2 linked regions of the Oryzias latipes genome follow. The protein of the gene in region 2 binds, or shares a complex with, the protein of the main gene of each other region. Links are inferred from orthologs where the notes say so. Each region holds a gene or a part of one and is shown on either strand. Other genes may lie near its edges.

What was found.
Region 1: the proteins of ercc6l (region 2) and bend3 are in contact, whole or in part, in a crystal structure (PDB 5JNO), measured with the Homo sapiens proteins. The link is inferred for Oryzias latipes from reciprocal best matches to the Homo sapiens genes ERCC6L and BEND3. Residues at the interface, in NP_060139.2 of Homo sapiens: Ala10, Glu11, Ala12, Leu13, Ser14, Pro15, Glu16, Ala18, Ala19, Tyr21, Leu22, Arg23, Lys26, Phe51, Pro52, Asn53, Glu54, Lys55; in NP_001073919.1 of Homo sapiens: Glu252, Gln255, Ile256, Gln259, Leu261, Asp265, Arg269, Val272, Gln273, Pro276, Phe279, Ser280, Phe335, Arg338, Phe339, Gln342, Glu346.

The regions. Positions count from the first base shown.
Region 1 is NC_019880.2:28,669,087-28,684,797, reverse strand, and holds the end of bend3 (BEN domain-containing protein 3), read right to left. Parts: intron 8,244-15,711; 5' UTR 8,241-8,243; coding exon 8,189-8,240; intron 8,098-8,188; coding exon 7,916-8,097; intron 7,826-7,915; coding exon 5,615-7,825; 3' UTR 4,741-5,614; downstream 1-4,740. UniProt on the Homo sapiens protein: Transcriptional repressor which associates with the NoRC (nucleolar remodeling complex) complex and plays a key role in repressing rDNA transcription.
Region 2 is NC_019867.2:407,439-422,711, reverse strand, and holds ercc6l (DNA excision repair protein ERCC-6-like), read right to left. Parts: upstream 13,372-15,273; 5' UTR 13,198-13,371; intron 12,402-13,197; 5' UTR 12,270-12,401; intron 11,954-12,269; 5' UTR 10,757-11,953; coding exon 10,623-10,756; intron 10,010-10,622; coding exon 9,947-10,009; intron 9,473-9,946; coding exon 7,408-9,472; intron 5,983-7,407; coding exon 4,801-5,982; 3' UTR 4,749-4,800; downstream 1-4,748. Other genes in the region: ftcd (formimidoyltransferase-cyclodeaminase), read left to right, coding at 1-69, 142-203, 270-396, 468-629, 702-745, 834-972, 1,212-1,307, 1,378-1,461. UniProt on the Homo sapiens protein: DNA helicase that acts as a tension sensor that associates with catenated DNA which is stretched under tension until it is resolved during anaphase. Functions as ATP-dependent DNA translocase. Can promote Holliday junction branch migration (in vitro).

The sequences.
Region 1 (15,711 bases), on a different chromosome or scaffold from region 2:
CTGCATGTGACTTGACTGCATTCATTTTATTATTTTCTCTTACCTGTGTCACCCGGTGCATCTGGCGCGTCGGTGTCCCCCTCCGCCTCAGTCACCACTCCACTTAAAAGGGATTCCCCATTAATAGCCGCCAGTCTCTCATCAAGAGGTCCCCCCCCCCCCGTGGCAGACACACCCTGGCGATGGAGCACTAGACGTCTTTTCGCCTCGACTTTAATGTCCGACCATTTCTTTCATTTCTTTTTTATTTCGGCCACGGTCCGAGGTTGTGAGGCTACAGCATTTACGGCGTCTGCCACCGTTTGCCACTCAAGTGCCTTTTTGGCATTAGTAATGCCCACACTGTGCCCTCCAAACAACATTTTTCTCCTCTTTTCCACCTCGCCAACGATAACTTCTACTTCACATTGAGTGAAGTTACGTTTTTTTGATTTCCTCTCTGTGTTTGCCATGGTTTCGCAATCAATGAATATTAATTTCTTGGGCGTTTCACGGACTATTTATGGGCAACTATAGGCGTGTCATGAAGCCGCAAAAGCTGCGCTACATTTAGAATTGGTTGTGATTTATTAAGGGAAAGATGCGTAGGATGTGCGTGCGCACGGTTTTATAAATCCGAATATTTCTGTGCGTTCGCATGTTTCATCCGTACACCACTTCTGACGCAAATCCTTTATAAATGAGGCCCCTGGACGGCTGCACTTGACTTGCTACCCCTATTATTGTCATATTTTTTGGGATCACCTGTGCCCTCTGCCATGAGGAGCGCGTGCTGCGTGCCTCACCTAGTGTATTTCTAATGCTCATTATACTGGATAAAAAAAAAGACGAAATAAATGGGTCACAAACATGCACCAATGTAACCAGACGGTTGACGAGAAAAAACCCCCAAAGTAATTAAAAATAAAGCATATTTTATGATAATAGAAAAACTGAATCAGCAAAGCACGTGCATCAGCTGCAGCTTAGTCAGGATATGCATGACCCTTGTGCTATCCTAGATGACCCCACCCTTCCATTGACGTGTTCTCCCTACCATGGCAAAGGTAGATAAAGGTAGAAAGACTTCATGGAATCCATGGACACCAGTGAAGATCACAAATCATTGAAGAAAAAAGGTTCAGAGCACTGTTTAGTGGGTCTAGATGACCCAACTCCCAATGTTAAAGTGCCTAGGATAGCACAAGGGTTAAAAAAGTATATACATCTTTTTTATTGTATGCACGTCACTGGCTGAAGACATCTTCTCCTGCCCCATTTTGTCCTTACATTAGATCACGTGTCAAATCCGAGGCCCAAGGGCCACATTCGGCCAGCCATGTAATTAAATCCAGCCCGCGAGATCATTTTATATTATAGTTATCAATAGCCCGTCGAAGTGTAGCGCTGATATTCACATTCACTAGAGATCCCATACTGCAGCGCTTCAGCTGCCCAACAAAATACACTGATGAGCACCTAGACTGTGAATTTCTACATCACAGGACCTCAAACCAAACACAAACAAACTTGTTGACAAAAAATGATCCCAGGGGGATATTCCAGGAAGCATGTTTAAACTAGCCTGACCTTAAGCCTGAACTCTGGCTGAAATCCGCCTGAACTTGCTTACTCTGGGTATGTCGGTTCCAAAAGACCGGATACGAGTTGGCGTAATTACGCTCGACTTAGTAACCCTGGGTTAATGCACGTGCATGTCAAGTACATAAAGACATTCTCAATAGATCGCCGATTTCCAGAGTCACCATGGAAACGCGTGGTGAACCAAAGAGAGCGCTATACTTTAGTGAGACGGAGTCTGAGATTTTGATGACGGCATATGAAGATTATACATCCATCAAAAAAGTAACACGGCTGCATCATCAAAAGAAAGAGTTTCTGCTTGTAGTAGAACAACAGACAAAGTAAACGCACGAGTTTCTGATCTTATTTCCATTTTCCTTGTGACGCATACATATATATAACTTATCCAATTTTGCCACGTTGAATGAACTACTTCTATTGGTGACAAATAATTGAGTTAAATTTAATCAACCTAATTTCTTACGTCTATAAAACTCAATAATTGTTTATACAACTCAAATTTATGTGTTTATCTAACTAAATGTCATATTACTCCAATTCAATTAATATTTTTTCCATCTTAATTAATTATATTTCTTGATCTTTCATATGTCTAAGTATGAGCCGGCAGATATGCTCAATCAAAAGGACGGAAAAAAAATGCAAGATGCGCACAAATTCATTAAAGAACTCTCCGTCATTGTCATTACAGCAATAAGCGGTAGGGGTGCTATATAAACTCATCATCCTCTCCTTCACTCTCACTCATGGTGCAGAGACATAAGCACAGTAGGACAAAATAACTCAGCAAAACACGGCAAAACACAGTAAAACAGCTAAACAACTAAACACATTTGGTCAAAAAGCCACACTTAAACCAAAATCCGTCCAGACAGGCAAAGGAAATGGTATCCCACAATCCCTTGCGGTGCCGACCTAACAGCAGCACCAAAGCTACACCTACTTAATTGAATTAATTTGAATGAAAGTAAAATAACTGTCTGATAACTACGTGTTATTTTTAAACTGACTTAAAAAAAATATTTATCTTAACTGAAGCAAATAACTAAGTTAGATCAAAGTAAAAAAGTTTAATTTTCCAGCATTCATATGTGGTCTTATCACCCTCTCACGGTGGAAAAAGTATTATCTGAGTTTCTTCATCCACTAAATCATCTTCAAATGGACACGCCATGCTGCTTCACCTCTATGTAAACAAACTAACCTTCAACTAAACCTGCTCCCGACCAGGCAACTTGACATACTCTGAAACATACCTCCATTTCTGGAACCGAAAACTGAGGTTATCAACTTCCTTAGCCTCAAACTTACCGTGGGAGCTAGCATAACCAGCTTCCTGGAATACCCCCCAGGTGTCCAGCTTATTTTTGAAAAGCAAAAACAACATGACGAAGGACACTAATGCTAGAATCATCGGATGGTATTTATGTCTCCAGCCATTTTGTTTTCAAGTAAAGTACAAGTCGGGACACCAGAACATAGTGACAGACTTTTTGTCCCGTGACTTGGATGAATAACGACTTTTAAAAGGGGGACAAAGTAGTTGTATCTATTTGTCACTTCTCTGTAATTGCTCATCACTTTTAGACACATCATGTATCTAAAACACAACCATCAAATGTTTACACTCGTTTAATTTAGTCATGTTTCCCCACCTTCTCTTCCTGGTGCCCAAAGAACAAAATGGTGGCCAAGGCCTTAACTTTCTGTTTAGGAGTTGGGCATAGGAAGTCAAAAGGATTTGGATTTCTTTGTATACCTTCTGGTTGTAATGATTTGAGTCGTTTGTGTAAGTGTGGCTACGTGTAATTTCTGAAAGGCACACTTAAGCTGTAGAGTCAGAGCCTATAGATGACGCTTCTTTTGTAAATGAGCTTCCACAGTTCAAGATCTTCATGTTTAGATGTTTACTTTCCAAATGCATTGTGACAAAAAACAAATTATGGTACAAAACATATAAACGTTAAAGTTTGGTCAAAAACTACTGAGCTCTCTTAGCTCTATAGCTTCACTAAGCTAACAAGAACAAGGCACATCAACAATGTTGTTTCTCTCAGCCAATAGAACTGCTGGGCTCCCGAGTTGACCTATTCTTTTACAAAATCCAGTACAAACGTTGTAGAATGTTTAAATGGCTCTAACAGTTTATTTATGTTTCCACATACACTCATTCACCAGCACCCTGTCAATAAACAGCATCGATGGCAGGCGTTGCTAACCCGGGCCTCGACAGATGCTGTACGGATATCATAAGTCTGATTCGCATATTTGGATGGGCAAAGATTTTACATGAAATGCCCTTCCTGACACAACCCTCTGTATTTATCCAGTCTTGGGACCGGCAATGATACCTTGGCTTGGACCCACTCGTGTCTACATTACTGGAATTATGAAAATGAATAAAGTTTTCTATGATATTTAAACGGGTCTATATATGTTCTATTTTCTAATAATTGCTTCACCTGTTGGTTCTTTTTCATGAAGCTGTTTAACTGTAGTTTGATTTATCTCATTTTTGTTCAAGTCTTGTATCTTGTCAGGTGTCCTTTCAGCTCTTTGGTCTTGGTTATGGTGGAACAGTTACAGTCTGATTGTTTAGGGGGTGTGGACTGGTGTCTTTCATACAGATAACTAATTCAAATTACAGGTGACCAGTGCAGGATAAAAGAACTTCTTAAAGAAGTAGTAGCAGGTCTGTGAGGAATAGAAATCTTGTTGTTGGTAGAAAATTAAAGCTTGTTTTCTGCACCATTATACAAATAAATGATTTAAAAGCATACAGTGTGATTTTCAGGATTCTTTTCTTGCATTGTCTCTCCCAGTAAATGTTATTAACCTCTAATCTTTTTAGGTGAGAAAACTTGCAGAATTTGTGACAGAGCATAGACTTTTTTGCCATAAAGGTCGTGATTACAGGATGCATATTTGCAAAAATACATACATATTTTTCACATCTTTACATCTTTGTGGCTTTAAAAGAAAAAAAACCAAAGTTTTGTATTTCTCATCTCATGTTGCACCTCATTATCTTTTCCTTTAAACCATTTAGATTCAGAAGAAAGTCTACCTGCTGCCTATTTAGGAGTCATAAATTAGGTCCAAATCATAAATCTTCAACCACAAATGTCAGATCAGGCAGAACAAATCCCACACATACCATTTACACAAATGTGGTTTATTAGAAAAATGCTACCATGATCAACTGTCATGTTAAATTATATTACAAACTTCTATAAGAAGGCTTAACATACAGTGGTCCATAAACATCCGGACTAGGACAATGTTTAGTTTTGCCTTTATATGCCACCATATTGGATTTTTAATCTGCCAATTAAGATATGACTTATGTGAATATTTTTTCTATTTTACTTAAAATTTTTTAACAGAAAATAATATGAAGAGTCAAACTGCTAATATTTTTATGGTGTTTGACTCAGAATTAGAAAAATCCTAGAAAAACAGGAAAGCTTTCGGGAATTACAAAAGGAAATGCTTTATTTTTTTCAATAAATTCTTTTAAAATACTATTACTTTTGAATCAATTCATATTTAAAGTAAGGTGGAAAAAACACTTGTGTCTTAAAGATTTGTTTGAAAGTTCTTTAACATAAACTTGTCATTTTAAACCCCTTGTGACAGAAAGAACATTTAAAATGTTCCTGTACAAATAATCAGGGACTCAGCTGGAAGTACAATAGCATCAACACAAGTGGCACAATGCTACATTGATAACTGCAATGGGAATATTTCACATTGTGGCTAAACTCTGTTAATATAGAAAACTGTGTGACCTATGCTTTTAGCTACTATTGTTATTTTCAAGGCTGCAACATTTACGAACAAAATTAGTTAGACGAGCTAGGATAGTTTGACTTATAAATAAGACGAGTTTTAGGTCTAACGTTAACAAGACTACCTAATGTAAAACATCTGCTGCTGCAGCCAGTGAATAAAATCAAAGGTAGGATCAAAGAAAAAAGCTTCAGCTTCTGTTTAGTTGCTTCATGACAAAGAGTGTAACGTCCTGGAACTAAGACATGGTGCTGGACCGTTTGGCCTTTTTAAGAATGTCGCACTTTTTGCGATTGGGGCGCCGGCAGCGTTCATCAATGCTCGGCACGCATTCGTAGTGCCACACCTCCTCCATCTTATCCACGGGATACACTGCCTCCACATAGTGACGGATGAGCCTCAGTCGGACAGGGTCAAGCTGCTTTTTGTTGCAAGCTCCTGAGTGATTGTACTGTAGGCGCAGGTTCTCCTGGGTGAAGAGCTCAGGGAAAAGGCGCACCAACAGGCGGGCGGCAAAGTTACCCACAGAGAGACTCTGCTGAACAATCTCTCGTATCTCTGTGTCTGACAGCAGGTATGTGGACGGAACAGGGAAGTCTGGTTTGGACACAGTCAGCTCCTCCAGGGGAATCTTACAAAAGTCTTTGCTGCTTTTCTCAGGGGGTAAGGAGTGAATGTCGGGATCCTCTTTCGGGTTGTCTGGATGGAGGCGGCTCATTTGACAGAGAAAGTCCTGCTCTGATTCGTGACTGTAAACTTTACGCTGCTGCAGGTACGACCTCCTCTGCTCTGTGTCACGCCTCCTGCACCTTTCATCCAACTTACCCACAAACTCCAGCATCCACACTCTGTTATTCTTTGCTTGTGGGTAGACTAACTGCACGTAGTGACGGATCAGACTTACACGGACCGGGTCGAGCTGCTTTTTTCCCAGAGAGCCACTGCAGTTGTACTGTTTTCTAGTATTTTCGTGGGTAAAAAGTTCAGGAAACATGAGTACAAGTAGTCTGGATGCAAAGTTACCAATGGACAAGCTACATTCATAGTTGCTCTTAAGTTGCTCTCTTGTCAACATGTACTCCTGTGGCGCCGGGAAATCAGGCGAGGGAATTTCCAAACTGTCAAAATCCACTAGTGGAAGAAGCGACTTTTTGGATTTGCGACTGGGCCTGTCATATTCTGGAACCTTTAGAATAGAATCTTCATCGGGAAGGCTGGCTAAATCATAGCCTTCATCATTCATGTTGTCCGTTTCACTCCCATTACCATTGCTATGGGGACCCTCCAGAGCATACTCTACATGTTGAATGCACACCTGAAGCCAGCTTTCCTCAGGCACATCAGGAAAATAGGTTTCCATGTACTTTCTTAAAATCTCCATCTTATCAGACTCCAGAATCACTTGTCCCATGTTGGTCAAACTACTACAGCCTTCTGGTATTTTTGCCTCTTCAAAAACCTCAGGGAAAAGACGGTGCACGAGTAGGATGACAAAGTCATCAGGGGAGGAGAGCTCGTCCAGTTCTTCTGTGCTAAATCCAATGTCAGACCTCCCAAGGGAGTCCTGCTGGTTGTCCACAGACCCATGCTCCCCCTGATCCTGCTCATTGATACTATGAGATTGAGGATGGTCTGCCTTTGTCCCAGCGCCCAATTCTGTATGCTTCCTGAGCAGCCGGGCGCTCTCCATGTCCCTCTGCGCCCAGAAGCGATTAAAAAAGTCGTTAATCTGGAGAAGACATTCTTCCTGCCAAATGTTGTTGTTTTTGACAGAGGGGTAGCATACCTCCACATAGTTACGAATCAGCTGCAGATGGAGAGATTCCAGGGTTCTCTTGCCTGCCATGCACTCATGAGAGCACTCCCTGGCTTTGAACAACTCTGGGAAAAGATGGACGAGCAGCTGACAGCTGAGCTCTCCTGGACTGGCTGTCTGCTCCATCAGCTGATTCAATTCATTATGCGTCAGCTGATACTCAAGGGGAGGCTGGAACTCTGTCACCATCTCTGTCTGTTTGATCTGCTTCTTTATCCGCATGACTTCAAGGGTTAACAAGTCCACTTTACTATGCAGCTGAGTCATGCTTGAATTCAAGCTATTGAGAATGAAAAACATTTTCTCAATCAGCGGGTAAAGGCTGGAGTCTGTTTTTGAGGTGTGGCTAGTTGACTGTGTGTTTGGGAAGGTCTCCTCTGAGCAGTTTTGCTCTGGAGTTTGTAGGTTGGACGACAGGATGCTGCTGCTTAGGTTGAGTTGATTCAGGTTTCCGTGACTGACCTGCTGCTCCAGACTCGGCGTGTTCCTCCTGTCAGAAATTTTATGCAAGATGCTAAAAAGAGGCTTTTTGTATGAAATGCTGGATTTCTCCTGGATACCCTCCTTGTCTGCACTTGTGGTAAGGCAAAGGGGTTCGTACCTGCTGCCATCACCTATAAAGCGTTTCCTCGACTAAGAAAACAAAAAGAATTAAATTATGCAAATATTACTAAACACATATCAATATAAGAATTTAAATGTTGTAAACTGGCTTCGTTTTACCTCACTAGAGACTCTAGGTCTTTTGCTGCTGGTGGACTGATGTGTATCAGAGCAAAATTCAGCAGATGACCTTTTATTGACCTCTGTAGTAGCAGGAGCTCCTTCTTCTTTATCATCTTGTGATTGTCCACAAACCGCAACATCTTCCATCTCCTCCTTAACCTCTTGAACATTGTTTTTTTCTGGAAATCATGATATATTTGTATTATTTTTTTATTTTTACTATAAATAACTGCCCTGGCAACAACAATTTCATCAATGAGATTAACTCACCTTTATCAAGCATGGCTTCATCGGAAATTTCCCCATGTTCACAGGAATTCATAGCCTAAAAGTCAATGAGAAATGTGTGAAATCTCTGTAGGTAAAACAAAAGGAACTAAAAACCAAACACACACAAGGAGACCCTCACCCCACCCCCTCAAAGGAAAAAAAAAGTTTAAAGTCTGACTGCATGATCAGGGATGTCCCAATCAGGTTTTTTGGGTGGCCCTGATCAAGTTCCGAGTCATTGGATTTTGAGTATTTGCCGATAGATAGCCCCGACCCGATACTTCTTTAACACATTAAAAAATGAACACATTTAATAAGTACATCCAGACTGTCTCAGTCATCTATCCAGCCATCCTGCTCCGCTTATCCGGGACAGGGTCGCTGGGGCAGCAAAGGTATATAAGCAAAGATGTCCAGACTTCCCCTCTCCCCTGCCACTTCCTTCAGCTCCTCTGAAGACCCCAACAAGTTCCCAGGCCAGCCGAGAGACGTAGTCTCTCCAGCGGATCCTGGGCCTTCAGCCAGTGCCATGCCTCCTGGAGGCATTTGGAATAGATGCCTGAGCCACGTCAACAGGCTCCTCTCGATGTGGAGGAGCAGCGGCTCTACTCTGAGGTTTCTTTGGGTGGTTGAGCTTCTCACCCCATCTCTAAGGGAGCGCCCAGCCACCCTATGGAGGAAGCTAATTTCTGCTGCTTGTATTTAGTACCTGTTTTTTCTGTTACGACCAAGAGCCCATGGTACGCCATCAGTACTCGAAACGAAGATCGACCAGCAAATCAAGAGCTTTGCTTTCTGGCTCAGCCCTCTCTTTACTACAAGGGCCGTTACACAAACGGCGCTCTAATTCGCCTGTCAATCTTAAACTCCAATCTTCACTAATTTTCCATTAATCTTCACTCTTCTGCATCGAGGAAATCCTGTGGTTCCCAAACCACACCCCCTCCGCCCCCTGGCTGTGCCTAGAAATTCTGTCTATAAAGATTATGAACAGAACCTAAAAGGGCAGCCCTTCTGGAGTCCAACATGTACCAGGAACAAGTGTGACTTACCACCAGCGATGTGAACCAAGCGCCTGCTCCGGCTATACAGAGACAGGACAGCCCTTAGTAAGGCTCCATGGACCCCATACTCCCAGAGCCCCCCCACATGACACCACTGGGGACATGTTCGAAAGCCATCTCCAAATCCACAAAACATATAAACTGGATAAGCAAACTCCCACTCCAGCACCCCAAAGAGGGTGTAGAGCTGTTCCACTGTTCCATGACCAGGGCGGAAACAGCACTGTTGTTCCTGGATCTGAGGTTCGACTATCGGATGGACTTTCCTCTCCAGTACCCTGGCATAGACTTTTTCAGGGAGGCTGAGGAGTGATTCCCTGGAACAACCACCCGTCTGCCAGTTCAGTGGTACAGTTCCGACTGCCTCACAGTGCTGCAGAGATATGTCAGCCAAGACACTCTTACAGCATCCAGAGACTTGAGGTACTCTGGGCGAACTTCATCTATTCAGTAGCCTTGCCACCAAAGAGCTTGTGGACTACCTCAGTGACCTCAGCTCGGGTAATAGACAGCCCCACCCTAAAGTCTTCAGCCTCTCCTACCTCGAGAGAAGATGTGTCAGCAGGGTTGAGGAGACCCTCATTGTATTTCTTCCACCACCCCACAATGTCCCAAGTCAAAGTCAACAGCTCCCCACCTGCACTAATAACAGGGCCAGCAGAAGACTGCTTCCCCTCCTGAGACACCAGACAGTTTGTCAGAATTTCCTCGAGGCCAACAGTTAGTCCTCTCCATGGCCTCACCGAACTCCTCCCAGGACTTAGTTTTTGCCTTCACAAAAGCCCGGGCCACAGCTCTCCCGGATGTGGGAGTTAAAGACGTCCCTGACAGAGAGCTCAGTCAGACGTTCCCAGCACACCCTCACAGTACATTTAGGTTTGCCAAGTCTTTCCGGCCTCCTCTGTCAGCAAATCCAACTCGCCAACAGGTAGTGATTGGTGGACAGCTTTGCCCCTCTTTTTACCAGAGTGTTCAAGATACATGGCCAAAGGTCACCTGAAACGACTACAAACTAGGGTGTCCTTATGCCACATGAATTGATGGACACCTTTGTGTTTGAACATGGTGTTTGTTATGGACAAACTATGACGAGCACAGAAGTTCAACAACAAAAGCGGTGAGCGGTGGCTCAGGTTCAGATCTGGAAGGCCATTACTACCAATCCCGCCCCTCCTTGGTCACACGGGCATAGAAATCCCCCAGGAAGACAAGTGAGTTCCTCATTAGGGCACTTTCCTATACCCCTTCGAGAGACACCAAGAAGGACGGGTACTTCAAAGTGCTGTTTGCCAGAGGCCTGTCCCCCACCAGAAGGCGAAGGGACACAACCCTCTCGTCCACCGGGTTTAACTCCAACACTGGGAGATCCAACCAGGGGCAAAATCCAGGGATCATTCCCCTATTTTTCAACATCTAAATGGTTTGTTTGACTGAATGAAATGAAGGAATGACTGAAAATTTCCCAATCTATGTATTTATCCAATGTGACTGAAAATGACATTTTGACTACAGTATACAAACTGAAAAACAAGACCTCAAAAGGACAGTAATGGGATTGATATGAAAATAATAAAAATGACAATATATTGTATTGTCAAACCACTACATCATATCATTAATCTTTCACTGAAATTGGGAATTTTTCCAGAGAGGATGAAAATAGCTAAAGGTATTCCTTTTTTTTTTTAAATGGAGACAGACATACTTTTAATAATTACAGACCAGAATCATTACTTTCCAAATTTTCAAAAGTTTTAAAAAAGTTGTTTGTGAACAAACTAGACAGCTTTATTAAAAAAAAATTTGTTAAGTGAGAATAAGTTTGGGTTTCATTCTAATAGGTCTACAGGTTTGGCTGTAATGAAAATAGTTGAAGAAATATCAAAAGCAATTGACAAAAAGAAATACACAATAGATTTTTTCATTGATTTAAAGAAGGCTTTTGACACGATAAATCATTCTATCCTGATTTATACATGACTGATCACAGCAGCTCCAGGACTGCCACAGGAGCAGGAAGGCAAATGAGGAGTTGGAGCGCTGGGGCCTGTGGGTGGGTGCTGCAGCGAGGAGATTGATTTTGGGTTTGAAAGATTACTTTGAACTTTGAACAGAACTTTGTCGCTCTGTTCAAAAAGTCTTAATTTGGATGCAATAATTTGTGGACGACTGAAGCCCAAATGGCAGATAACACACGTCATCGTAAGAAAGACGCCGACGGTGAGCACGCCTTAATGAATGAACTGAGAGCACTCAATGACAAAATGGATAAAATGCAGACAAAAATGGACAATATGCAAAGCAATATTGAAACACAGATGGATATAAAAATGAACACCCTCCGGGGAAGCTTGGAAAAAATCATTTTTGACGGACAAGCTGCATTTAAAAGTGAGCTGGAGAAGGGGGTGAAGGAAGTGCGCAATAATCTGGATCTGGAAGTTTCAATTATGAGTTCCAGAATGGACGATATTGAAACTAAAATGAGGAACAGAGAAGTGCGGGGAAAATCTTTTGACCCAGACGTGTCACTGATTATTGTCGGGCTGCCTCAAGCGGATGGAGAAAATCTCGAGGCTAAAGTGAAGGAGCTGCTGCAGGATGGATTGCACTGTGACCCGGTGCCAACGCTGGTAGCCACGGAGCGCGTAAGGCAGAGAGGACGGCAACCAGGCCTGGTGAAAGTGGAGCTCGCATCGGTGGAGGATAAAGTGGCTGTTCTTCGTTTGAAGTCAAAGCTAAAAGATCATGGAAACTACAGGAGAGTTTATGTGTCATCTGCAAAGTCTCACGCGGAGAGACTCATGGAAACAAATTTGCGCACCCTTTTGCGCGAAATCCCGATGGCTAAAGACTACTATGTGGCTGGAAATGGGCGATTGATTAAACGGGCCCAAACGTCAAGCAGTCCAGTGCAGCGTGGGGCAGGAGTGTGACGAGACAGTGCTCAGCCTGTAAGTACTGAATTTGTTTTAGTTCACTGGAATGTGAACGGCTGGACGCTGAATAACTGTGAACTAAGAGCGCATATTCTCATGTCGCTAGAGCCTGATATTATTTCTTTAAATGAGACTCATCTATCCAATTTGATACCGGAGCTGGATGGCTTTACTTGGATTGGACACAATCGGATTGTGCACAGAAAAGCTGTTAAAGCATCTGGGGGTGTGGGAATATTTGTGAAAAATACTCTCTTGGACAGTTTTTCTTTGAGGATTGATAAAACCTATGATGGGATTCTGTCTTTACGTTTTGAACATGGTTTGTCACAATTTTCGTTTAAAGTAATCTCATGCTACTTGTCCCCTGAAACCTCTACTTGGGGGCGCAATGCTGATCTTTTTTTTTGCCCATTTACTTTCACTAATTTATGCATCTGATGCTGATTCTGTTTATATATGTGGAGACTTGAACAGTCGTATAGGATGCTTAAAAGATTTTGTGGATGAGGATGATATTCCCTCAAGAGTTGTGTTAGACACGATATTAAACAATCATGGACACGCTTTTGTTGAATTTCTTAAAGACTCTAAATGTTGTGTTTTGAATGGGAGGGTAAATCCAGAGAATGATTGCTTCACCTCTGTGTCTTTTAAGGGTAAAGCTGTGGTGGATTACATTGTCACCCCGCACACTGGTTTAAACGAGTGTGTTGAATTTAAAGTTCTCACCCCTCTGGAGCTGATAAAAAGCAACAAGTCTGATCTGATGAACCTCATTGATGACAGAAGTAAACTCCCCGATCATTCAGTTCTCTATTTGCGTTTTAAAACTATTGAAACAAATTTTTCAAATAATATGCAAGCTGGTTTACAAAATAAAAAGCCAATCAGAAAACTGCCTGTTCACTTTCTGGAGTCAGAAGTCTGTTGTGAGTCTCTATGTGAAATTGGTCTTCAGCTGAGGGAAGGTAGACAAACACAGGAAAATCTAAACCATTGCTATGGCTGGTTTTGTGATGTTTTGTGTAAAGAATTGGATAAAAATAGACCAAAACAGAAATATAAAAGCAATAAAGGAATATGTAAAAGAAATCAACCTTACTGGAACAATGAACTGCAGAGTCTATGGGAACAACTGTGTTTATCAGAGAAAAAGTATTTAAAATGCAAAGAAATGGTTCTGAAAAGAGAGCTTCTTTCTGTGTTTAAAAACTGTCAGAGTCATTTTGATAAGAAGTTAAAATTATTTAAAAGACGTTTCAGGAGGGGGTAAAGCTCTTCAACTACAACTGCATTTGCAAAATAATAAATCACAGTTATTTTGGAGGGAAATAAATAAACTAGGACCTAAAAGTAGAAGGCCAATTCCGCATGAGATTTTAACAGACTCTGGAGAATCTGTTTTTCTAGCAGAGCAAGTGTTAAACAAGTGGGAGTCAGATTATAAGAACTTGTTTACCTGTAATAGTAGTTCCCACTTGTTTGATGACCAGTTTTTTCTGAATATGTGCAAATCCAAAAAGACAATAGTTTAAAAATTTCTCTGAACTACTCTGACAAAATAAATCAAGATATTACAATTGAGGAAGTTCTAAAAGTCATTGAGAAAACTAAACTTCATAAAGCTGCTGGTGTGGATGAACTATCAAACGAGGTTCTTAAGTGTCCCAAATTGTTAACTACTTTACATTTTCTCTTTAGATTCTGTTTTAAGAATGGCTTTATACCATCTATTTGGTATAAATCGATCATCAAGCCGATTCCAAAATCCCCTCAAGCAGACCCAAGAGTCCCTCTGAATTATAGAGGCATTAGCCTACTGAGTACCGTGTATAAAGTGTTTTCTAGTGTTATAAATAATCGGTTATCTGAATACCTAGAAACAAACGAAGTCCTTGTAGAGGAGCAGAATGGATTCAGGAGAAATAGAGCGTGTATTGACTATATTTATGTTCTGTCCTCGGTGGTGAGAGCTAGATTGCAAGAAAGTAAAAGTACCTTTGTTTGTTTTGTGGATTTAAAAAAAGCATTTGACTCGATAGACAGAGATCTTCTTCAATATAAATTACTTATGTATGGTATTAATGGTCAATTTTATAAAGCAATTAAAGCTCTGTATAAGGCTCCATTAGCCTGTGTGCAGGTGAATGACCTAAAAACAGGATGGTTTTCCACACCATTTGGAGTTAAACAAGGAGATGTTCTTTCACCAACTCTTTTTTCTATCTATGTCAACGATTTAGCTCAAGAAATTAAGAAAACTAACTTGGGTATTGATATCAATAACTGGAACTTGAGCATATTACTTTATGCTGATGATATTATTTTGATAGCGGATGAGGAAATAAAATTACAAGGAATGTTAAATACAATGAATAACTGGTGTAACAAATGGAGACTCACTATCAATAGTGATAAAACACAAATCGTTCATTTTAGAAAGCCTTTAGTACCTCAAAGTAATTTTCTGTTTTATTTTGGTAAAACTACTCTCATGTTTACTGATACCTATAAATATCTTGGTTTTGTTTTTCATAAAAATATGATGTTCTCAGAAGGGAAGCAGCGGTTATCAGATTCTGCTGGGAGGGCGCTTGGTGCAGTGATAAATAAGATGAAGGTTTGTCCTGAGTTGAGTTTTGACACGTTTGGTAAATTGTACGATGCCATGGTGGGATCTGTGTTATTTTATTCTCCAGGAGTCTGGGGTTATGAAGACGCTCCTGAGTGTGATAAGGTTCAATACAATGAGATATTTTCTGGGTGTACACAGGTTCACCACTAAAGCCGCCATTGAGGGGGACATGGGGTGGGAACCTTGTGTGATCAAACAAAGAGCAGAAGTTCTCAGATTATGGAACCGGCTGGTGACTTTACCTGCAGAGAGACTTGCACGTAAAGTATTTGATTGGGATAGAGCTCATATTTATCCCTGGTGTAAAGATGTGTTGAACATTCTGTCGTCTGTGAACCTACAATCATTATTTTTTAATTGTTTGAAATGTAAGATAGATAATGTTAAGGAAACTTTAGTTGGTTATTATGAAAAAGACTGGAAAATGAAACTGCTTCAAAAACCAAAATTACGAACTTATTTGCAAATTAAGGACACATTTTCTGCTGAGCCATATGTTATATATAACTTAAAAAGAGGACAAAGATCCTTATGTGCTCAACTGAGAGCAGGAGTGCTCCCCCTACAGGTGGAAGTAGGGCGTTTTAAAGGCATTCCTGAGGAGGAAAGACTCTGTGAGGTCTGTGAGCTGCTAGTGGTGGTGGATGAATTTCATTTTTTGTTTTATTGCCCTTTGTATGAGAAACAGAGACTTTGTATGTATGACGTCATAGAAAAGAAATGTCCAGATTTGTTTTGGTTATCTGAAGACAAAATTTTACGTTGGCTTTTTGAAAATGAAATCTTTCGTTTGGCAAATGTTGTGTCAAAAGCATGGACAATAAGAATGGACACTATGTATTCTGTTAGACTCTGATTAGGGGGGTTATTGGTTATTGGATT
Region 2 (15,273 bases):
GACGCTGCTGACTTCTACATTCACAGAGATCAGCTCTTCATCCTTGAAGAGGAGCACAAAGTCAGACTGGTGAGCACGGAACCGTGTGTGGAGACCCGATGAGCCGCTCCGACTGACAGAACCGCATGTTCTGGCCCGCAGGTGGTCAGTAAACTGGGCCTGGACTCCCTCGGCCCGTTCAACCCCAAGGAGAGGATCATAGAGTGAGTCTGATCGCCCACGCAGGAGCAGAAGGAGCGGGAGCTAAAGGTGCTGCGTCCTACATGCAGGTACATGGTGAAGGGGCAGGAGGAGGGGCAGCTGCGCTCGTTGACCCTGCGGCAGTTTGTTCACAGCGTTGGAGCTCGAACGGCGGCTCCGGGAGGAGGATCGGTCTCTGCTGCCATCGCTGCTCTGGTGGGAAATTCTCAAAGTTCTGACGGCGTCCACATCCAAGTCCTTATCGTCATCTTGCGTTTTACCTGTAGGGGGCGGCGCTGGGGGCCATGGTGGGGCAGATGACCTATGGGAAGAGGCAGTATGAAAACCTGGACGGAGTGATGAGGAAGCTGATTCCTCCTCTTCATCGGGCCATGAACGACTTCCTGCAGATGGTGGACGCCGACGCGTCCGCCTTCAACAGCTACATGGTGAGAACCCAGAACCTTCCCGCACATTCAGGACGACCCGGTCTGACCCAAACGGCTGTCGTGTTTCTGCAGGCGGCTCTGAAGATGCCAAAAAACACGGCGGAGGAAAAGAAACGGTACGGATGTCAGCCAGAAGGTGGCGCTGAAAGCTGCAGCACTTGGAGCCAACGTGTCAGTGGTTTTATGCTCCTCTGCTCCTGTCAGGAGAGAAGACGCCATGCAGGACGGCCTGCAGCAGGCGCTCGCCGTCCCGGAGGCTCTGGCGGAGCGGATCAGCGCCCTCTGGCCTCATCTGAAGGAGATGGTCGTCCATGGAAACATCAGCTGCAAGTCTGACGCTCAGGTGAGAATGATGCTGCAGGCGTGGTTCATGAAGCTCCGCCTCCTCCTCCAACGAGCACTGCAGACATTTTTGCTGAAATTTGAGTCTGGCTTTCAGACAGACTAGAGGCTAGAGTTGATGGATTATGTGCACGTTTCCTGTCCAACATAAATGCCACATAAGCTGTAGAGTCTGCATGCAGACCTTCAGGCCCCCCATGTGTGGAAACCATGAAGGTTCTGACGGTGTGTGCTGTCCAGGTCGCAGCCAAAGCTCTGGAGGCGGCTGCCTTTGGAGCGTACTACAACATCATGACTAACCTCACCGACGTCACCGACGAGGCCTTCAAAGCAGCGGTACGTACGCCCACATCTGCTGGCAGCCTCGCCTCCAGGCAGGCCCTGACCTCCGGTTCTGGTTCTGCAGACACACAGGAGAGCGTCCGCTTTGCTTCAGGAGGCCCGAGACGGCGCTGCTGCTGTCCTCCGCGCCGCTGAGACCAGGACCTGAAAGGCCTGAAGGAACTGCAAATAAAAGCTTCCCTCAAACGCGTCTGTGTGTTTGTAGAGGCAGCAGCCGGACCCACGGGTTCAGGAACCGGGTCAGAACGTCCGAGTGTGCCATTAGACAGCAGGAAAACCGGTATCTGTTGGAAGAGGAGCCATTGGCCAAAACCAAACCGATTAGACCCCAAATGTGAAACGTTTCTTTAACCAGAAAGAGGAATGTTCTTGTTTACAATCAGCTGAAAAACTTAAATCAGTTCCATTTTTAAAAGATTTTATTAACTTTTTAATAGAGAATTAATCTACAAATGTCATTTTAATTCCTCACTGTAACCCTTGTGCTATCCTAGGCACTTTAACGTTGGGAGTGGGGTCATCTAGACCAGTGTTTTTCCACAAGTGTGCCGTGGAAAATTGCCCTCATTAACTGATCTAAAAACATTTCCATCTCCAGGATTTCAGCTCTCTGTTCATCCAAACAGGCCCTGATAAAACACTGAGGAGTTAGGAATATAAAAGATCGTAAATTACTTTTTCTTTGCGTTTATTTTATTTTATTAAATACATTTTGATAAGAACGACGTACCGCGATTCAGCTGCACCTTCGGCTGTATTTTGGAAAAGTCCCGTCCCTTTAACTGTCTCCACCAATCATTCCTGGGGGGCTTAATCACATGTCATCAGTCTGACCAATCAGAAGTGGTTAAAGTCTTCACTTCCTTGTCCCGATTTAGCTCGTAAAGTCGCTCAGTTCTAAAAAACATAGCAGCTAAAGCTCGTCTTTAGCGGTGTAGCTTTCCACAGAGTCCGGTATCAGACCGTGGAACAAGTGAACAAAACCATGAAGCTCCGAAAACCGATCTCTGGCCGTTTTATGCACTACATCTCCCATGATGCATTGGGTTGTGAGAGTGACAGGGCACAAGGAGATCTGTTGTTAAACGTCTTGAAACCAACGAACACACAACCAGTTTTTAAATCTTCTAACTTAACTTTTATTTAATCTGTTAGAAAAAAACAGTTTCCAGCTTTTTCTGACACAATTATCTCAAAAATGCATGTAAGATTGTGGAGGGAGGGGCTGTAGATCAATACAGACTAGAGTTTCTCCTTTTTTTTAATTTTTGGATGCTGGTGTGCCGCGGGATTTTTTTTAAGGTTAAAGTGTGCCGTGGCTCAGAAAAGGTTGAAAAACACTGATGTAGACCCACTAGACAGTTGGGTCATCTAGACCCACTAGACAGTTGGGTCATCTAGACCCACTAGACCAGGGGTCGGGAACCTTTTTGGCCAAGAGAGCCATAAACGCCACATATTTTTAAATGTAATTTCGAAAAAGCCATACAATAATGTAGTGTCCTTTTCCCACATGGAGACTTAACCTCTTTTAAGGTTCTTTATTCTGGTTAATGCAGGCTGTAACAAATGCCGTAAATTAATTCAGCAGCTCCTGAATCTCTCCTGCCGAGACGAGAGCACTTCTCCCAACTTTATATTCCCCCCTCCCGCTCCAGGCCTCCCATTTCCCTTATTCGGCCCATAGCTGAACCCCATTGGTCCAAATTAACTAACAACAGGCTGAGCGACAGAACTAAGAGCCAATCAGATCTGTGCTTGATGCGTTCAAGGAACTCCAGAACTTTTAACGCGGCCCAACAGCCAAGTTAAACTCAGTCCGCTACAATATGTTTAAAACTAAATATTCAAGTGAATGTGTGCATTTGATATAATTTCAACACTTTTAAAGTACAATAAGTCTGTGGATTATTTTTAATAACATTGTTATGCTGTTGCTAATAAATGATGAGTATTTCTCGTGGTGGTTCTGCTGATGGTCTAGTCTGGTTGATACGTGGTGAGTTTCTGCTTCGTTCAGGCGTTGAGACTTTAAACGTGATCTTAGGTCTGAATGTTCTGTAGATGTGAGACAGACTGCTCACATGCAGACGTGGAGCCAAACACACACTCACACGCTGCAGTGAGTGACGGGCAGCAGGTTTTATGTTTTTACAATCCCTGCGCGGTTCACCTGCTGTCCCCACAACCCCTCACCCCCACCCTCTGCTTTCTCCCTCACACATCCCGTCCCCGCATCTGCGCGCTCTTTCTCAGAGACGGGAGCGCGCAGTTTTAGGCACGGCAATTCACAGGTTTCCGGGTGGTACAAACTCTGTGAATTAATAGATAATAGTAAAGTGATAATGCTGGCGCAGATCCTTCTCTCCAAGCACCGCTACTACTGCGCGCCTCTGCCATCGCATCGCGCCCGAGAAGGACTGGTCTAATGAAAAAGAAAAAATTAAAAATGTGTCTGCGAGCCACATGTGACCATCAAAAGAGCCATATATGGCTCGCGAGCCATAGGTTCCCGACCCCTGCACTAGACAGAGCTCTGAACCTTTTTTCTTCAATGATTTGTGATCTTCACTGGTGTCCATAGATTACATGAAATCTTTCCACCTTTATCCACCTTTGTCATGGTGGGGGGAACACCTCAATGGAAGGGGGGGGGGGGGGGGTCATCTAAGATAGCACAAGGGTTAACCCTTCAACTCCAAATCTGTTTTCAAACTGTAAAACAGCCCCCCCACCTCAGTCCAGGGCTTTTTCACTCAAAGGTCATCAAGATTCGGTGATCAGTCTCTCATTGGGGCGGGTCCCACCTGGCTGCCTTTCCTAAGTCCCGCCTCCACTTCCTCTGATGATCTCAGGTGATGTCAGACCATTCCTCACAGCAGCTCCAGGTCGGTGGATCAAAGGCAGGCAGGACCCCCCCCCGTGAGAGACTGACAGGCTGCAGAGTCACACAGGTGAGGTCATATAAAAGAGGTGGGCGTGGCTCCAGGTGCATAAAGCAGTCGTTACAGTGAGACACAGGTGTAACATCCAGGTGACTCCTGAATGCAAACACATTTACACCGTTGAATCTAAACCTAAAAACCTGTAGGCGGATGAAACGTAGGAAAACCATTTTACCCAGAATGCTCTGATAGGACAGGAACCCGGGGGGGGGGGGGGGGGTTGAAAAACACTGAACAGGATGTAAAGCTGATGGAGGATGAAGACGGATCACAATGAAACCGGAGCAGAACTTCAGCCTGATGAGAAACATCAGGATGCTGATGAAAACTCCGCCCCTCACTGACTGACGGCGGCCTCACAGCTGGACCCCCATCAGCTGATTGGCTGGTTTTGAAGTTTGCCCCGGCCGTCTGGGAACATTCCTGAGGTCCATCTTTCTCTGTAACGTCATGGTTTGATGAGTGAAGCACAAACGTTCAGACGGCTGAATCCATTGAAATGGTTTTAATGATCAACTCCACACTAAAAGACATAAAACTCTTCAGGGTCTCTGGCTCAGCTGTCGGTACAACTGGATGGTCATGAACTGGACCTCCGGGTCTCCGGGCCGGATGTCGATGGCTCTGAGGAAGAAGCTCAGCGCCTCGTCCAGCTTGGCCTGGCTGTAGCTCTCTTTGCCCTTCTTCACCAGGACCTCGTAGCTCTCTGCGGCACAGAGCGGCTCCTCCTTCCTCTGACACTCCGGCTCCTCTTCGATCTGCAGGTTCAAACTGGAGCCTTCTTCAGCCTCCTCTTCCTCCTCCATGTTTAGAGTCTCTCCATTCATGTCCGTTTGAAGCTCGTCCATGTTTCTTTCTTCAGACTTGAATCCAGAAACATCTTCGTCATCCTCGTCCTCATCCTCCACATCCTGGATGATGGACTGAAGCAGAGACCGCCGTGACACCACAGAGGCGTTTCCCCCCACGCTCTTTCGTGAGTGGCGAGGAGCTGCTGACTTGGGCGTGGAGGCTTCAAGAACCTGGAAGGAGCCATCAAGTGGAGACTTCAGCTCTTCCTCATCGCTGTCCTGAATTGTCGGGGCTCTCTTCTTCCTCACCCCCACCACCGAGTCCTCCATGGACGTGTCCTCCTGGCGTCTGCTCCAACTCTCTGACAGAGACTTGTTGACATTAAAGCTGCCGTCCATCAGAAGCTTAGCCAGCAGCTTCTGCTCCTCTTCCTCCATCTCTTCATCCTCCACGGCTCCACTGTCCTCCAACTGCAGCTGAAAGTTTCCACGAGAAGAATCTGGGTGGAAGCTCTCTTCAGAGCTGGAATCTCCTTCTGTCAGGGGGGGGGTTTGGTGCAGGTCCAGCTCAGAAGGGATTTCACCGTGGAGATGTCTGAGGTCATCAGCAGAGGTCAGGACGCCGGCGTCATGTTGTAGAGAAGCAGCAGTCAGAGAGGCTCCTCCACCAGCACCTCCAGGTTCTGGTCCTGCATCTAGAACCTCACACTCGTCCTGGGGGGGAGGGTCTGCAGTCAGATCAGTCACTTGGAGGGACAGAGGCGGTCTCCTGCAGCGTTCTTCTGAAGTGTCCAGGTCCACCACCTCAAACACGCTGACCTCAGACTGTGGAGGTGAACGGGCCGCTTTGGGGTTTCTGGGTTTGTCTGGGGGGGGCGGATGCCTCAGCCACGCCGGCTCTGTGCTCGTCGCCATGCTCTCCGCCATCTGCATCTGCAAACAGAAACATTCTCAGATGAACACGGCACGTCTGACAGGTGAGCCGTTCCTGACGGAACCAGACGGAGGGCAGTAGATCTGCAGGATCCGCTGGATCTCCTCAATGCTTTTGGTTGTGGCACAGAAATGAAAACAACCTTTGGTGCACAGTGACATTTACCGATCAGTCACCCTGACCGTCACTGTGGATAATGAAGCAGATAAAGGCAGAACCGTGTCGGTGTTTCCCGCTCCACCGTCCTGCATGTTGTCCTGCTCATGCACACCTGAGTCAGCTGATCAGACTCTGCAGAAGGTCAGGTGAAGGTCAGGTGTGTTTGAGCAGGACATTGTTCCCCGAGGACCAGGGCTGGGAAACACTGGTCTATGTGATGAAACTGAAGCTTCATCTCTGAAGGTAGAACCATGGAGAACAAACTTCTGCCAAAGGGAATCCAGAGAACGCTCCAAATTATTATGCAAATGGTAGATATGACAAAAAGATCCAATTCTTTGTTTTCCATTTAAAAGGATGGAAGGTGTTGAGTCTCTGGTCTGTTTGGATCACTGACATCAACCTCAGACACCTGAGATGATTAGTGTTCCAGGTGAGTTCAATCAAAGGAGAAACTACTAAAGGACGTTCCAAGCAGTATGGAAGAAAAAGGATCTCTGCTGCTGAAAAGCCTGAAACAGTCAAACGCCTCGGTCAAAGTATGAAAACTGTGGTTATTTCAGGAAAACCTAAGCATGATCATCGTCCTATGAAGAGATTCAGAGACACGCGTGTTGCTGCAGATAAAGGGGGAATGAGCAAGTTTCTGCCAGCTGAGCAGCTACTGAAAGCACAGATCTGAAGCTGCTGGAGTCTCTGGGGGTGTTGGATCCTCCGGAGACCAGCAGCTCTATTGACCCCAGAGAAGTGGGTGGAGCTTCTGACTGACCACTTTCTTCCCTGGTACCCAAAGAACTGTGGTTTCCTGCATGACAGAGCAGCATCTCATGCTGCCTGGAGTCTGCATCACTGGCTACTACAGGCAGAAAAGGAGAGAACTGATGGTATGCCCCCCCCCCTCCCCCACCCTATTGAGAACCTTTGGAAATATGTTTCAATATGTTTATAGAAATATTTTAAAATCTATATATTTGTTTGAAAGTAAAACTGATTCTTTATCATTTTTACATTTAAACGTTAATGCAAAACATTTTTCCAAAGGAAAAAGTTTTAAAGACAAGACCAAAAATGGTGTACTTTATGACATCATGCTTCAGTTTATTTAAAATAAAGTTAAAATGATCAGAATGAGGAAATTCATATCTGAAAATGAAAACACTCATTTCTCAGCAGATCTTCGTCTCTCTAAAGCCGCTCAGCCTCACCATGAATTCATGAGGACAGAAACTTGTGGGTAAGTGAGTGTCTGCTCAGATTCTACCCACCTGTACCTCAGACTCCGCCCTAACCAGCTCCTGAGCCTTCTGGACCCGCCCCTCGATGTAGTGCTGCTCCTCCGGGTTCTCAGGAGCCTCATCTGTGTTCACGTCCACGGAGAACATCAGGTCGTGGTCGGAGATGCCGAAGATCTCCATGGTGTGGAGGTGGGCGATGTGCTGGTCCAGCTGGGGGTCCGTCTGGCGGTGCCGCGAGTGCAGCGCCTGCAGCTGAAGCTGCGTGGAGGATGAACGCGTGTCCTCCAGGGTGAAGAGCTCCTTCAGCTCCTGCTTGCTGAAGTACCTGAAAGGGTTCTTCTTGTCCCCCGTGTTCTGTCGGATCAGGGAGTCTTTGAAGACCTGCCGCCTGTAGATCTTCTCCTCCACCGTTCCGCAGGTGATCAGCCTGTAGATGACCACGTTCTCGGTCTGGCCGATGCGGTACGCCCTGTCCACAGCCTGGGCGTCTGTGGCCGGGTTCCAGCTGGGGTCGTAGATGACCACCCTGTTTGCAGCAGTCAGTGTGATGCCGACGCCCCCCACCTGGGTGGTGAGCAGGAAGACGGAGTAGCTCCGGTCTTTCTGGAACAGAGAGATGAGCCGCTCTCTCTCCGTTATCTGTGTTATGGTTCCATCCAGCCGGAGAACTTTAAAACCTCGGTTGTTGAGGATGCGCTCGATGATGTCCAGAACTTTCCTGTAATGAGCGAAGATGAGGGTGCGCTGGCCTTCCTCTCTGAGCCTCTCCAGCAACGCCACAAGGAAGGCTAGTTTTCCAGACTCTGAAATCAGCGTGTGGTCCGGCACATCTGCAATGCCGTGAGCGGCGGCGTCCGCGGCGTTTTCCTCCAGACCCAGCCTCGCTAAGGCGTCCGTAGAGAGCAGTCTGGGGTGGTCGCACAGCTTCTTCAAAACGGTGAGCTCAGCCAGAGGAGACCTGGTGGTGAGGAGCAGCTCCTTGATGCAGTCCAGGTCGATGAACTGCCTGTAGATTTCCTCCTGAACTGCGCTCAGGTAAGTCCAGACAATCAGGTCGTTTTTGCGCTTCAGTTGGGGCATGGCCGCGGCGGGGTCAGGTTGGTCCTCCTGGTTCTCTGCACTGCTGTGCAGCTTCTCCTTCTCACACAACTCATTCCTTTGCACTTCAGCCTTTGTCCTCCGGAGGAAGTATGGCTTAATTATGGCCATGAGGTTATCGGACATCCGCGAGCCCAAGGCCTTCTCCCCCGGGGTGGCGTCCTTCTCTCTGGCTCGGGTGATGGGGTTCTCATACTCCGTCTTGAAGGTCTTACCTGTCCCCAGGAGAGTGCCTTGGCAAGCAAAGTCAAACAGAGCCCACATCTCCCGCAGATTGTTCTGGACTGGCGTTCCTGTCAGCAGAACCCTGTTCTTTGACGGGATGGCGTAGGCGCTTTTGGCCGTCTTGCTGGACGTATTTTTGATTTTGTGCGCTTCGTCCAGGATCACGTAGTCCCAGCAGAACTCCTTTCCCTGGTAGGAGGACAGCTGCTGCCAGTTGTTCAGCAGCATGTTGTATGTGGTGATGACAACGCCGCTCCTCCTTTGAACCTTCTCCAAACTTCTGGTCCGTTCTGCTTTGCTGGCGCCATGAAACTCCTTGACCCTCATACCAGGAGTCCACCTGGAGAATTCCTTGATCCAGTTAGTGATGAGCGACGTGGGCATGATGAGCAGCGTGTGTTTGATCAGCTCATTGTCATACATGCCAGAGAGGAAGGAGATGACCTGGATGGTTTTCCCAAGTCCCATGTCGTCGGCTAGAATCCCGCCTTTGCGTCCGTCTCTGTACAGCCCGTACAGGAAGGACACGCCCTCTCTCTGGTAGCCGTACAGCTTGTCATGCAGCTCCTTGTAGAGCATGAAACCACTGTTGTTCACGTTGACAAACTCGTCATCCTCATCCTCAGAGTCATTCTGGGACAGAAGCTCTTGGATTTTCTTTATCCTGTTCTCCAGCTTGGGAGTCTGGTGGACGCTGAAGGCCAGTTTAAAGAGCTCCAGCGCTTTCTCGATGTCCCCTTGTTTGGCAGCATCTTTACCTTCAGAAATCAGTCTGAAAGAAACGACTGAATATCAGCCTCTTTCCTTTTAACATGCTCTCAAACTATTGTTGTTTAAATGGAGCCACAGAGAAAAATCCTCTGAGCTTCTAGACTTTTAAATATTCATGTGTGACATAACGTTGTCTTTGCATAGATGTTACAGACACAGCAGAAATGCAGCAGAACATCACTTTATGAATGAAGACAACGTCTATGTCATTAAAGATTCTGTTCCTACTTTTTACTCATGGCGTGAACTAAAAGGTTTGGTCTTATTTGCAAAGCAAAAAACTGTCATTTGTGGTTTGGAGCTGCAGGTTCTCTTCATTTATAAATGTGTAGAAATAAAATCCAGACATTTAGATTAGCAAAAACAAAAAGAGAAGCATTTTCACTTAATTAATTAAGAGGTATCTTAGCATCTCTATGGGATGTATTGAGACATTTGAATGTATCGGCACATTTAATCAAGAGTCTCTTAATACCTCTGATACTTTTCCATCGCCTCATCATCATCTTCATCAGCAGCAGCCCTGATAGACAAAGACCTGCAAGGCGAAGAAAACATCCCATAAATGAAGCTTCATCAAAAACAACCTGAACTTACATGACGACGATGAGACAAAGTTATTAAAACATTATATTCAACTGACAAGAGAATTTATTCTGGACTCTTAGTCAATCAGTTATAAAAACAAGCGCGCACGCGCACGGACAATATAATAAGAGTGCCAAGAACACACAAGATAATAGTCATAAAAAGCCGAAATAAGTATCCAAACAGAATCACAATAAAAAGTAAAACAATAAAGATTCATTAAGTATCTATTTATCCATGATCTGACCTTTTATGTCCTTCATGGTTTTTTTCTGGTCACGTTTTCTGAAGTTTCACTAAATAATTAAAGTTTGTCTCATCATCGACTGAACTGCTGGTTAGTTTGACGCGGACAAATGTCGAAGTTTCTCTTTTGAATTCAAACGGTCTCCTGAGTCCTGACGCTGCTCGAGTCCTTCACATCAGAACCTTAAGCCCACGCGGTTCCGCTGAACCCAATCGGGTCTGTGGGTTTTGAAAGCAGAGCTCTAAAGTTTAAGCTAGCTCACACTGAGGCTACCGGCTAACCTACCAGTCTTCATTTTTCTTGTCGATATACTCACGTTTCCAACTTTTCGGAGACCTCCGTAACCTCCCGGTAGTTTTCCGGACGGTCCATGGCGCCGGTAGTGTTCACGCCGGAGGAATAGAAGCGGGATTCCTGCGTTTCAGGAGCGAACGAACCCGGTAAAACCATCGATCTAGTCTCAGCGGGGCGAACGTCTCAAAACACAGGCTTCCTCCCGCCAATTTCTCAGCCAATCACAGAGCACGCTCTCGACGCGCTGATCATGTTTTATCCAATCATGATTTGTCGACACAGACAAAGAGGCGGGGCCACAGTGAACTTCCGCTAGTTCCACAAGTGGTGGGATTTCTTTTTAATATTTATATTTATTTAAATGTTCGAAACACTTTCACTGAATAAATTGAAGAGAAATGCATTAAAATCTCAATTAAGCCCTAAAATATCCTTATGTATTTGATTTACAACACTTTTTTCTTCTTAAAAGAACTTTTATTAACAATTGACTTAGATTACATAGAATAACATTAACATAGATGGACTGATGGTGGAAATTAGTTTCGTTGCTAAACTGGAAAAACGTTCAATCTTCTGTACTCAGGCTGTGTATAAAGTCAGCATTGATACTTTCCCCTGTCTTTAGTTAAAAAAACTTTAGTTTAAAAAAGTTTAGTTTAGTTTAAAAAAGTTTAACACTGTAAAAAACACATGGGGGGGGGGGGGACACACATCCACACACAAACATATCCTTTGGTAGCATGAACACACATGCATGTTCACACTCACACATTACAGATCAACACACACGCATCCCATATCCTGGAGAGCAGGTACCTGTGCTCAGGTGGGTGTGTGTTCTACTCTGGACGCTGGTATTATGGGATGCAGGGAGTAAAACAAATTAGCGAGCACCCAATCTACACCAAGCCCCAGCAGAGGGAGGGGCGGCAGCAGCCTGGACCCCCCAGAAAATCAATGTTCATTTAGTTTATAGGATAAATGTGTTTCTAACAAACGTCAGTTCTGCTGCACTGAGACAAGAATCTTCATCTTTATTGGAACACGGCCAGACGTGAAGCTGCTGCTGCAGAAGATTAGAATGACGTAAAAATCATTCAATCAGATAAAAACATGGGATGAACTTTGAACTGATCTCCTCCAGAAGCAGAGAGGAGCGGATGGATCCAGCAGCAGGACTGTGACACCTGGACGGCTCCTCCGAGGACTTTACCAGAGAGGAGCCGTCTCCAGAGCTCTGACCTGAGCAGCAAAAACCACAACATTCTTCTGAACCTCTGCGTTGATCTGGGCCTGCGAGGCCCGCGGGTTCTGCTGGAGGAACTGCACGATGTTCAGGATACATGCTTTCTGAGGAGACAGAAATGACAAAATCGTTAGACTCCTGCCGCTCTGCAGAAACTATGTCCTGGAAAACTGTAGCTCCGCCATTCAAAGTTCTGCTCTAAGTCCTTCATCCTGTCTGTCCTTTGCTCTGCCGAAGAACACGCCCTCCTCCTCTCCTTCTTCCACTAACGGTGGTCCCCCCCCCCCCCCCCCCCTTAAGGTCAGCAGCACCGGTTGTTGTTAATTTGGCCCCAGGACCGATCGGGTCATAAATCACAACCCCCCCATTGCTGCTACAGGAGCCCCTCTGAGGATCAGAGTTCTGCAGCTGCTTCAGCACCTTGTAAGCATCCACTTTGTCCTGGCCGGTGATCCGGTTCAGCAGCTCCCCACCGACCCGTAACCCGGTCACCACAGCCAGAGCCCGGCGATCCTCCTCCGTCTGAGAGGTCAGGTACCGAAGGAAGGCCACCTGCAGGAGACAGAACCTTACTTCAGAGGAATCCAACCTTCCTCCCCAAGAGCACTGGCGTGAAGCAGAGGCTCTAGGAGCAGGTTCTGACGGACCCACGGGTTCTATTAAGGTCTGAGGATCACATGGAACATCATCCAACTGAGCTCCTGTGGAGCTTTGGAAGAACTTCCTGTGTCCAGTCCAGCTTCATTTCTGTCTGTTTCACGACAACATTTGAGTTTAGATCTTTCCCCAAAACTCTGAGATGCTTCCAGAACCACTGAGAAAGGAGACGTGTTCTGTTGGATCCATGTTTTTCTGCTCCTCAGAACCAGTTCTGGACCTGACCTCCTCTGGGGACCAGATGTGTCTGAGCTGAGGTTCTGCTGCTCCGTCTGTTCTAAAGATGGACAGATTCACGTTTTTCCTGCTTTTTGTTGGATGTTCTTGGAGCTGAACGTCCAGGAGCTTCAGTCCAGAACCAGAACCAGGACCTGGACCGGAACTGACCGACCCGAGTCCAGACCTGCTGTCTGGCTGACAGGAAACTCTGCTCACCATAGTGGATGATTTTAGCCAGTTCCTTAAGCGCAGAAGTAACGCGTTATATTTAGTCACGTGACTGATGTCATCGTTAACAACTGCATCGTTACCTGAACGTGAAATGATTTTACCGGAAGTGTCCATTTCTATTCCCACACCTGGATCACGAGCCTCTGCTCGGTTCGTCCCGAACCCGATCAGAACCTTTAGCAATGAATTCGGTTCGTTAGTGTCCCGGGTCCGCTGTGACCCGTCCGTTCGTTTTCCTTACCTGCTGAAAAAACTCCGCGCTGTTCATGACCGCAGACACACGTTTACCGCCAAACACGGCTCGACCCTGGCGTCCACGGGTCAGTTTTACTCGTTTTTCTAACACAAACTACTTCCTGTTTACTTCCGCCTCCGTGTGGAGCAGAGAGCGCACAGCGCCCCCAGCGGCAGTTACTGGGACTGACTGCAGTCTGCGACGCTGCTGACGAGTTCGAGGCTTTTGGTACGTGATAGTTTTATTGTTTATGACGGCCTCCAGGCTTCCGTGTGTCCAATGAAAGACGGTTTCGAGCAGAGACCAGAACACCTGAGGTTCACAGAGAACCAACCTGCAGACCAGAGTTCAGCAGGGCGGTGCTGTGGGGGCAGGGGTTCTCCTGAGCCGAAGAACCATGAGATGAGAAGCAGAACATTGGACCTTTGACAAAGAAACCTGATGGTTTTTTAATACGGTTCTGGAAGTAATGACAATCACTACATTCCAGAATCTTTAACAGCTGTTTCTAAACTCCCCATCCATCATCTGGGGTTCGGTCATGGGGGCAGCAGTCTAAGCTCCCCTCCAGCTCCTCTGGGGACCCCGAGGCATTCTCAGGCCAGCCGAGAGATGGAATCTCCACATGGAGTCCTGGGTCTTCCGCAGGCCTCCTCCAGGTGGGACATGCCCCGAACACCTCCCCAGGGAGGCGTCCACACGCTGAGCCACATCAATGACCTCCTCTCCCTGTGGAGGAGCAGCAGCACACTGAGTAGGGATGGGTATCGTTAAGGTTTTAACGATACTACTACTCTTATCGATACTGCTTATCGATCCGGTACTCTTATCGATACTTTTTGAGGACGAAAATAAATAAATAAATAAATAGCAAATTAAGAACATAAAGTGTTTTATTTCCTCACTATGCAACAGCATTGTTTTTTTAACAAAACATTTTACTTTATACATGAGAATGTTCCAGACAGGATATTTATTTAATTATTTAATCTAATTGTTTTTATTATTTATGAGTGTGATGTTTCATTTGATCTTTTGTCCATTTTCCACAACCTTGAATATAGACGTTTCTGTCTGTCAAACACCAGAGTTAAGTTAAGTTAAATGATGGAAACAAATTCACTTTGATGCAGACTCCTTTCTATTTTGCCAACTCCATTTATTTTTCTTTAAATCCAGTAAACCCAATAAATGATATTAATTTTACGGATGACAACTATCATTAGTTATTAATTATTATTAAGTATTAGGAAGCAGCTGATAGTTTGTCGCGGGTCTGGAATCATAAGCGGTGAGTCTAAGCCCCGCCTCTCTACCTGTTTGTTGTAAACTCCGCGTGCAACGCCCCCCCACCCCCCCTCCCGCTGCCCCAGCCTGTTCTGCACAAACAGCGCAACATACGGTCATCGTAGCAGCAAGGTGACAGCATGGTAGGCAAACTTAATAATTTTACGCAGAAACGTTAGTTCTTAGTCTAGGGCGCTCACGTGTCCCCTACAAGATCGCCACTGACTGTGTGTGCGCTGCCTTGTCTTGTGTGTGTGCGCGCGTGGCGCGTGCTGTCTGAACAACAGCCCCCCCCCCCCCCCCCCCTGCACACAAATAGACAGACAGAGCTCTCCGCTTCAACGAGAATACCGAAATTAATATCATCATTAATTAACGGAAAATTGACTGACTTGGTGAGTTAAATATGGCAGATAACGCTTACATTTTGTGGGACACAAAAAAGAAAAAAGAAAAAGTAACTTCTCCAGTACCGATAGCAGAACCGTTCAGGTCAGATCTAACGATACTGCCGTCTTGAAGAATGTGGCCCCGGGGCTGGTTCAATACCGGGGCACGGTACCCATCCCTACCTAACACTGAGCTCCTCCTCCTTTATCTAAGGCAGCGCCGCCCGTTTGTTTGTGTAAAAGACAAAATAGATCTTAAAAATAACCTTTGTCAGAAAGTTGTTAAATATATTAATTTTTTAACACATTTGAAGCCAGTTAAATGTTTCTTTGTGTTTGATCCGTTGGTTCTACATACATCACACTAAATGCAGCAGAAACTGGTTTTTATTTGTTGAAGCACATC